Linked DNA regions of Canis lupus familiaris. The protein of the gene in region 2 purifies or fractionates together with the protein of the main gene of each other region. This does not show direct contact. Links are inferred from orthologs where the notes say so. Each region holds a gene or a part of one and is shown on either strand. Other genes may lie near its edges. The genes, in order: SUFU and CDC25C.

Region 1 (4,595 bases), on a different chromosome or scaffold from region 2:
TGACTACAAACTCCAGATCTGCTCCAGTTTCCTGCTGCAAATTCCCAGTCTTGCCCCTTTCAGCCTAAGTGCATCCAGCAACAAGTGGCAAAACTGTATCCACACTTCCATACTCCATCTGTCACACCTCTGCAGCCCTCTCTCAGGAGATACTGCATCAAGGATCGAGGCTTTATCTTAAAACTATAACTGTAAGGAATAACCAAGAGTCAGACAAAATTAACCTTGTCCCCAAGCACAGTGTTCTGTTCTACTTACTCAGACACCTGATGGGAAACAGATGATTATGTAGAAAATAATCATATCTTGCACTTAGAAAAATATGTTATCCAAGGACCCAGAGTATCCCTTGATGCTCTTCCTTGAACTTACTTCCTTGAACACCTAACTTCATTCCACATGACAGCTGTAGGACTGCAGTGGCTCCTGGGTACAAGCTCTGCCTCTGTGTTTCTGTTCCCTGCCCACTAAAGTATCAGCTTTCAGCCAGGATGTCCCTGCCGGCCAAGGTCCACTAGCCAAAGAACCAACCTTCTGTCACAAGAAAAGGAATCTCAAGGGACCGTGGGCCACAGCCAGACCCAGGTAGCCTTGGTCAGTCAAACTGCTAACGAGGCCTTGTGGCATCCCAAGTGTGATGTATATTAATGAATTAATTTCAGAATCTTAATTATGCAAACCCTTCCAAATCTTAGAAAGAACTAGTTGCTCAGCTGCTCCTTCTTATATTTTTCTGCATCTGGCCAGCATTTCTAATCTCACAAAGTACTCTTTATTAGTCATTACATGTTGGCCCATTTCTGAAGATAAGTCCTGCCTGGTTAACAAGCTTGCCCAAATCAGTCTTAGTCCTTTGCATGTGCTTTAATATCTTCTGCACACAATTCTATCCTTCATGGCCAACTGGGTGACATAAAAACAGTTGCCTAAGTCTGTGTAGGGATTTCTCTGTTCATTCAAATGAGACCTGAACCAACAGCATCGCAGAACCAGGCCCTCTTTCCCCATGACACAATCCAATACAGTTCATCACAACACATACTTAAATATAGGCAAGAAATGAGAATGGGTGATTAAGTTATCAAGAGCTGCTTTTCACTCAGAAGCTCTCTTCAAAAACTCCTCTCAACCAAAGAACAGTTTGCCTGCTGAAGAGAGAACTGTACCACTGGCCACATCTCCTCTGGCTACCAGACATGACCCTCTCATAGGAGGTGGCTGGTCCCCAGGCCCTGTCTCTTCATATTGTCCCACTGACACAGGCAACTGGCCTCAGCCCCAGACAGTCTAGTTTCTGCCATCTCCAGAGGAAGTTAAGAGGTTATCCTGGAGAAGCTTCCATCCTAAAAGAAGAGGTAACCAGCAAAGACATCCACTCTCTCAACCTCCCCCTTTGGGTCTACCTGCCCCCTTGGCACATCCCAAGCTTTTTTCTGAACAGTCTTTCAGGACTCAGTGAAGGGGATTATTTAATACAGTGCCTGCATGAATGCAGTTCTGGACAAATTCTACCAATTCCTCAGTCAATATGGTCCAGAAAGACCATGAAGACAGGCTCTTTGTCAGAGTCCCTCTAACACCTGTTTTGCCCAGTGGCTGTGAAAAGAGATAGGTTGCAAACAGGAATGGGAAACAAGAAAGGACCATTCCTACCCCAAGGGCAGGCCTTCTATGATCCTGAACAGAGCCACTTGAGGGTTACTCTCAGCTTCCCTGAGAGACTGTGGTCTAAATCCTGAAGCTTGGGGCCAGGAAGCCCCTCTAAACATCTGGCTGCACTTCTTTGCTCCGTGTCTCAGGTCTTCATCATTTACTGGGGTCCCCGGCAATCCTGAGCCAAACCATGGATCTATCTCCCTGACCGTGCCTCTGTTCTAGCCAATGTCCTAGGCAAAGCGGGTGCAGAGCCAAAGGAAGCTCTGCTTGGAGAAAGAGAACTGTGCCGAGTAAGCAGAAAGTTTATCAAGAAAAGTTGCTCCGTGAAACTTCAAACGCAAAAGCACTGCACCGATATGACTGACGTCTGAGCTCATGGGGAAGGTATCTTAAAAGGAGACCTCCTCTTCCTCTCTTCACAAGCACGACTCTCGCAACTTGCCTCCCTCCTAACCTATGGGAGAGCGGGGATCCCCAAATCCACCGTACCCTGTGCAGTCTCAAGCCCTCTGAGCTCGCCAGCCGCACTCCTCCAAAGCCCTCTCTTGTGCTCCCCAGGCCCCGCCTCGCCTCCCCCATCCCACTTCAGCCGCCCTTCTTCCCCCACCCCCGCCCCCGGCTTCCCTTAGCCCACTAATGACCCCCTACAGGCGCCCCCTCCTTTCACCACGTTTACAGTTCCCTTTCTCCTATCGGCCCCCCCCCCCGCTCCTACACACACACCCCCAATTCATTCTATTCTCCTAATCCCAGTTAACCCTTCATCCTCCCCCCTCGTTAACCCTCCTCTACCCAGAGGCTCCGTTAACCCCTTTGTCCCCGTTCCCAACTTCAGCCTTAACTCCTTGCCTCGCAGCAGGACGCCCTCTTTCCAAGTGCTTTAACCATTCTTCTCCACCTCCTCCTCCCCCGCAGATGACTTCGCCCCGGGCGTTCTAACCCTTCCCTGCCCGCCGTCGTCCGTCTCCCCGCGGCCCAGGGCATACCAGTACTTGACGATAGCGGTAACCTGGAGCGGGTTCGGCTGGTCAGGGTAAAGGCGACGGCACTCTCCGTAGATGGCGTGCAGTCCCGGGGGGAAGAGCGAGGCGAAGGCCGGGGGTGCACTAGGGCCAGGGGCCGGGGGCGCGGCGGGGCCGGGGGCGCCGCTAGGCCGCAGCTCCGCCATCCGGGCGCGTAGGGCGCTGGGGGGACCGGGGAGGGTGGACGAGGGGGAGAGCTCTGACGCGCCAGCAGGCGGACTCCGTGGGTGCGACTCCCCCAGGCGATGGGGGCTGCAGCGAGGTCTAGGCTCCGCGCCTGCGCACGGCGCACCGTCTGCCCAGGCCGTAGCCGCCGCAGAGACGGCCGGAGGGTGCCTCGGGGGCCGCGGAGCGCTCGGGGGGGCGGGGCGCCGGCGCGCCCTATCCCGGTATCCATTGGCTAGTGTCTGTGCCAGTCACAGATGGGGAAGGCGTGACTTGGCAATAGGTCCCGCCTCCCTCTCCGTGTGTGGGGGGGGTCCCAAGGCTCTTGGCCTCCCCCTAGTGTTAGGAGGAACCCAGATTTAAATAGAAATGTTGAGGCATCCTCAGGTGCTAGGGTCCCAGGAAAGCTGTGGGAAGCTCGCTGACGAACGACTTGTCGCTATTGTGCTGACACCCTGCTAACAAGAATTTAAGCACAAATTTGACAATAGTGGATTGATTCATTCGTCCATTTAGCGTGGCTTTAGTTGTAATAGATTATAAATCTGAATATTTCCTACCATCTTTGAATGTCCATTTACCATATTTACTGACACTAACCCCGCCAAATTCAGGGGTTGTATGTTGAAATATTTACTTTGGAGTCTTGTTAAAAAGTAGCAAGAGGGATCCCTGGGTGGCGCAGTGGTTTAGCGCCTGCCTTTGGCCCAGGGCGCGATCCTGGAGACCCGGGATCGAATCCCACGTCAGGCTCCCGGTGCATGGAGTCTGCTTCTCCCTCTGCCTGTGTCTCTGCCTCTCTCTCTCTCTCTCTCTCTCTCTATGACTATCATAAATAAATAAAAATTTAAAAAAATTAAAAAAAAAGTAGCAAGAAAAAAAAAAAGTAGCAGGAGTTAGGGACGCCTGAGTGGCTTAGTGATTGAACGTCTGCCTTTGACTCGGGGAATGGTCCCAGAGTTCTGGGATAGAGTCCCACATTGGGCTCCCTGTAGGCAGTCAGCTTCTCTCTCTCTACCTATGTCTCTGCCTCTCTCTCTGTGTGTCTCTCTTGAATAAATAAAATCTTTTTTTTTTTTTAAAGTAGCAAGGGCAGCCCCGGTGGTGCAGCGGTTTAGCGCCGTCTGCAGCCCAGGGCGTGATCCTGGAGACCCTGGATCGAGTCCCATGTCGGGCTCCCTGCGTGGAGCCTGCTTCTCCCTCTGCCTCTCTCTCTCTCTCTCTCTCTCTCTCTCTCACTCTGTGTCTCTATGAATAAATAAATAGAATCTTTAAAAAAAATTAAAAAGTAGGAAGAGTTAGGTAAACTAAGACTAGTTTTTAAAACTTGGTAATTTTTTGTCTTTATTTTTTTTAAGATTTTATTTATTTGAAAGAGAGAGAGAACAGTGGGGGAGAGAGGCAGAGGGAGAGGAAGAAGCAGACTCCCTACTGCTGGATCCCAGGATCCAGAGATCATGACCAGAGCTCAAGGCAGACACTTAACCTACTGAGTCACCCAGGCACCCCAAGACTTGGTAATTTTTAAAATAAATGCTTTTAGTGATGACAATCTCTTCTTTGTTCTGTTTTATGCAGATTGCCTTAAGGAACATCAATATTCATTATCTACTATAGACCTGCTCTTTCCCATTACCATTGGCTTTCTGTAACTGGGAGAATTTTTTGTTATTTTAAGTAATCTCTACATCCAATGTGGGGCTCGAAGTTACAACCCCCAGATTAAGAGCCATGTGTTCTCCCGATTTAGCG
Region 2 (4,405 bases):
GGAGAAGAGCCCTGCATTCCTGGGATCCCCCCAGCCAGCCCCCGAAAGGCAGGAGGTCCGAGGGGTGTGTGTATTATTCTTGGTTCCTTGTTAGGAGTGGTGGACTGAGCCCTACCTCTCCTCACTTTGCAGAGGTTTAGCTTTTTCTGGCTGAAAAGGGATAGTCTGAAAGAGGTGCATATTCCTCTGACTCTGCCACTTTCCCAGCCAGGGAATGGAGCATCTCTTAGAGCCAATGGGTTCCACACCTACGGATGACCTCCTGGATGACTGGTTCCAGGCCCTGGAACCATCAGTGAATCTGAATGAAGACCAGAAGGGAGCCCAGGTAGTATCCTTTTCTAAAACCCATTGGAGCAGGGTTAGAGTAGGGTCTGGCCCACAAGGTAACAATTAGGATGGGATTCAAGGTAGTAGTCGAAAAACAAAAGAAGAAAAATTGGGCAGCAAGAAAAAATAGGACATGAATTAAAATATCTAAGAAAAAGGTGGCATAAGGACATTTAATTGTAGTTAACAATGGTGGGAAATTGGGCTGCATTGGGGGTTATTTTATACTTGATGAAAGGAGTACAATATTTCTTGGAATTGAGGCCTTGAAACCTGATATGGCTTTTTTAATGTCTCCTTTTATTTCAATATTTTGCAAATGAGCCAATGCTAACTTTACTTCTTATTCTCAGTCACTGAACTTTAATAAAGTATGGTTGATAATAAAAACAAGGATTACCAAGTGGAATGAAGACCAAGGGCTTTAGAGCCTCAGGACTGCTTTATAATATTACCTTTGTCCACCACATGGACAATCACTTCATCTCTCCAACCATTTCAACTGTCAAATAGGGAGATTTGTCTCATTTGATGATTCTAAGCAAAAAATAAGAATACATATTAAAGTATGTAGCACGGTGCCTGGCACATAATAAGTGCTCCACAACAGCAATTATTGGAAACTAGGTCTCCCCACTTCATGGCCCCTGTCCCCTCTTTTGCCAAGGAGAAATGTGCAAGGAAAGGAAATGTGCAGTGCATCTTCCTTCCACCCCCATTTTCTTCATAAGTAGCTCACTCTGCCTCTACTCTTCTTTTTCAGTTTGCAGACTTGGTACCTCCTGCCTACTCCTTTCCCTGGCTCTATGAGGAAGAACACCACTGGTTCTACTTTCTAGCTGATCACAGTTACATACCTGTCCCAGATTTGAATGAGGCACAAAATATTTAGAGAAAGCATATGTCTTTCAAGGGACGTGTTGCTAAGTGTAACAGTAAAGATTACCTGCATTACTGCTACTTCCCAATGGATTAAAAAAAAAAAAATCTAAAACTGCCCTACAAAGAGATCACAACACGAAAGCATTGTTTAAAACTTCTTTTTCCATTTCTGCCTGCTTTTCTAAACCTTCTTTGATAGCTGAGCCTCAAATTTACATAAGAGCCAGTAACCATTTTGCTGTTCCCCAACCTCCTCCCTACTAACGTCTACATTCAGGCTTCTCAAAAAAGACTTAAACTTTGGCTGAGGTGGGAGGTGATGGTAGTGGTGGAAATTTAATAAAGGGTGGCATCCTCTTCCTGAAGAGGAAATACAAAGCTATCAACATCTTTTACCCAGCTGCCTGTTTCCTTCCTCCCTCCCTTTCTGTCTTAAGGAAAGTGGTCCAGCTGTAACCACCATACTCCCCCCCCTCCCCCGCCCACCCCCGCAAGCAACTGAACCGCCTATGATGTCATAATCACAACCCCATTACCTCATCCTGCTGGGGGGTGGGGGTGCGTAGAGGAAGGAGGAGGAGTGAGCAGCCCTGGGCCCTTTTCAGCTTTACAAAGTGTTTTGGGTGAGGGCTAATTACAGAATCAATTGGGAACGGCCCCGCAACCGTTACAAGTCCTGGGTTTATAAGGTTGGAGGGTATCCGGCAGCTGGAAGAGGGGCTCCCGGGACTCAGAGCAGGCCCTGATCGGCTCTTGGACTACATTTCCCAGAAGTCTTCACGCCGCGGGCCGGTCCTCTGCTGGCGGAAGGGGGATTCCTTCTGAGAGGTGCCCGTAGAGGGCGGGAGGAGAGAGCAGGTAAGAGCAACTCTGGCTATTTCTGTTACGCGGCCCGAACCGGGTAGGGGGCCGTACTAGGGCCAATGTTGGAATGGAGGGCGAGGAGAATCGCTTTGTTTACCTTCGTCCGACACGGTCTCCCCCGCGGGTTTGGAGCTGTGCCGCCAACTGGGTCCGTCCACCTTCAGCAATATTTTGGAGGGGGTGACTCGATAGTGAAGAAGCCACCTTCATCCCTAAATCAAAGAGCTTGGCTCATTCCCGACAGCACTTTCCAAAAAAGATTTTGGGAGAGAAGCGACGCGGGGTTCGAGCCTCCCCGGGCGGTTCAGGGCGATTCTGCGAACCAGAGCGATTCCCCCACTCTCCTTCGGGGCCCGTTGGTTCGCGCCGGCGCCTTTTAAGGGCACCGTGGGGCGAACGGAGCGCTCAGAGCTGCTCCGGCCGCGGCCCAGGGAGCTGGAGGAGCCGCGGTAGGTGGCGAGGGCAGGTGGCGCTGGGGCCTCGGGGCGGGCACCTCGACTGTCCCTCCCTCCTTCCCTCTTTCCCTTCCCCCAGCCCGGCGGCGCGCGCGGCACGGCCTCTCTGGACGCCTCCACGGGGAGAGCACGGGACCCGGTGGGGGAGGGGTTGGTGGAGTGCTAAGTCCCAGACCCTTTCCATCTCCTGCGTCCTGAGTTCGCTTCCCGCGGCCAGATGATGGAAGCTGATTGGGAAGAGGCGAAAGACAGCCCCCCTGAGCGAGCCCTGGTGCCCCCCTAGGGGCTAGCGGACGCCCCATGCCCCACCCCGCGGGGACAGGCAGGGCAACCGAGGGAGAGGTTGAAGACTGGAGGGGGGCCTAGCCTTTTGCTTCTTCATCGGGGTGGGGGGAGGGGTGCTCCCCACTTGTCACCCCTATCCCCGCCAGAGCCATATGGAGGAAGAGCAGTCAGTTCCCCACTTACCTGTTCATGTACCTCCCTGCCTCCCTCATGTTTTTCTTTAGTGTCCCCCAGAGGTGTGGGGCTGGGACCTGGGGGGAGGGTCCCCAGGGGATTTGTGACTCTCCTCCCTCTTGGCTTGATTTGATCCTGGGTTCTCCAGGTTTCAGCACAACCTTAGCATCCCTGAAACCCCAACGTCAGGGGTTACTACCATCCAATAGTAGATGGGGTGGGGGTCCAGTCTTTATTTTAGGGGGCTGTTGGTGGAGGGAAAGCCTGGATTGAGAGTTGGGCCTGGTGGGGTCGTAGGGAGGGCCTAGCGGCCTGCTGCTCTGTGAAGGGCTGAGCCCTGTGCCAGTTGTTAAGCTGAGAAGTTTTAACTTGTTTAGTGAACATTCAGGGCTGTCTCTGCCCCTCAGATACACAAAATGGAAGGGGAAGGAAGGCGGCAAGAGAGGGTTTCTTACACTTTTTTCTATGCCTGCCTGAGAAAGAGGAGGCCCCTCGCGGAGCTGGTTTGCCTTCTTTTGTGTCCTGGTTTGATTCCTTATGGCTTCCGTTCTGTTCCCCCTCTCAGCCTGGCCTGTTTTAGGAAACTCAGGCTGAGAGTATCAGTTGCGTGGTGGTAGTTGCATTGTTCCAATTACCGCCGTGTGTGGCCACATCCCAACAATTAAAATGCAGAAAAACACAAAATCACTCTCTTCACTTGATCCCAGAGAGGGCTGGGAGTTTGCTGTTTGGCCAAATGCCTCATGAAAAGCTTGAAAGACTTTGCTTCACTCCCTGCTCTTCATGGCTGGTGAGCCTGAGGCCTGGGATCTCTGGGGTAAAAGCCTGCAGTTAGGGTCCCTCTCTAGTTGATCTTTTGGGGGCAGAGTTAAGAAACCAAGAGCAATGTGATATAAGCTTTAGCTTTTCCCACAAGATCATAGGGGAAGCCGCTGAAGGGAGCTCTCAGGAAGCTAGAACTTCTTTGAGGGTGGTAATAATAATTATGCATGAAAATGATAGTTAACTGTAATGATGGTTGATTTCTCCCACAGCTTCCAAAAAACTGCAGATACATCAACACGTAGTTCTTTGCTTTTCTTTACTTACTTCTCTCCAAGGTGGAACGGGGTAGAGATGATTCCCTCTTTTTGCAAAAGTAGAAAGTACTCTACCTCCAAGGTCACAGAAGAGCTGTTTGGGGCTTCCCTGGGTGTTCAGGTGAGGGAGGTTGGCATCCAGCCAAATAGATAAACCCAATTGTCCTCTTCAGATTAATGATATTATCACATGTGGCATTCTTAGGCTGTGTAGAGCAACAAACAGGAGAGTTTGAGAAACAGTCTATGTGGACTCCTGATTTGTGCAGGTTAGATGGTATGCTTTTTACACTTTGATATTTCACATTATATTGTACCCATGACACATTAAGACAT

Evidence for each region.
Region 1: the proteins of CDC25C (region 2) and SUFU purify together in Homo sapiens (affinity purification with mass spectrometry; 4 studies listed by BioGRID and IntAct, counting the BioPlex papers as one, with this or other methods). This does not show direct contact. The link is inferred for Canis lupus familiaris from reciprocal best matches to the Homo sapiens genes CDC25C and SUFU.

The regions. Positions count from the first base shown.
Region 1 is NC_049249.1:15,182,116-15,186,710, reverse strand, and holds the start of SUFU (suppressor of fused homolog), read right to left. Parts: upstream 3,006-4,595; 5' UTR 2,825-3,005; coding exon 2,643-2,824; intron 1-2,642. UniProt on the Homo sapiens protein: Negative regulator in the hedgehog/smoothened signaling pathway. Down-regulates GLI1-mediated transactivation of target genes. Down-regulates GLI2-mediated transactivation of target genes. Part of a corepressor complex that acts on DNA-bound GLI1.
Region 2 is NC_049232.1:25,988,615-25,993,019, forward strand, and holds the start of CDC25C (M-phase inducer phosphatase 3), read right to left. Parts: upstream 3,018-4,405; 5' UTR 3,000-3,017; intron 2,526-2,999; exon of another isoform or gene 2,289-2,525; 5' UTR 2,174-2,288; intron 2,071-2,173; exon of another isoform or gene 1,749-2,070; intron 1,302-1,748; exon of another isoform or gene 1,223-1,301; coding exon of another isoform or gene 1,094-1,222; intron 868-1,093; 5' UTR 786-867; intron 329-785; coding exon of another isoform or gene 208-328; intron 65-207; coding exon of another isoform or gene 1-64. Other genes in the region: SLBP2 (uncharacterized LOC474694), read left to right, coding at 1-64, 208-328, 1,094-1,222. UniProt on the Homo sapiens protein: Functions as a dosage-dependent inducer in mitotic control. Tyrosine protein phosphatase required for progression of the cell cycle. When phosphorylated, highly effective in activating G2 cells into prophase.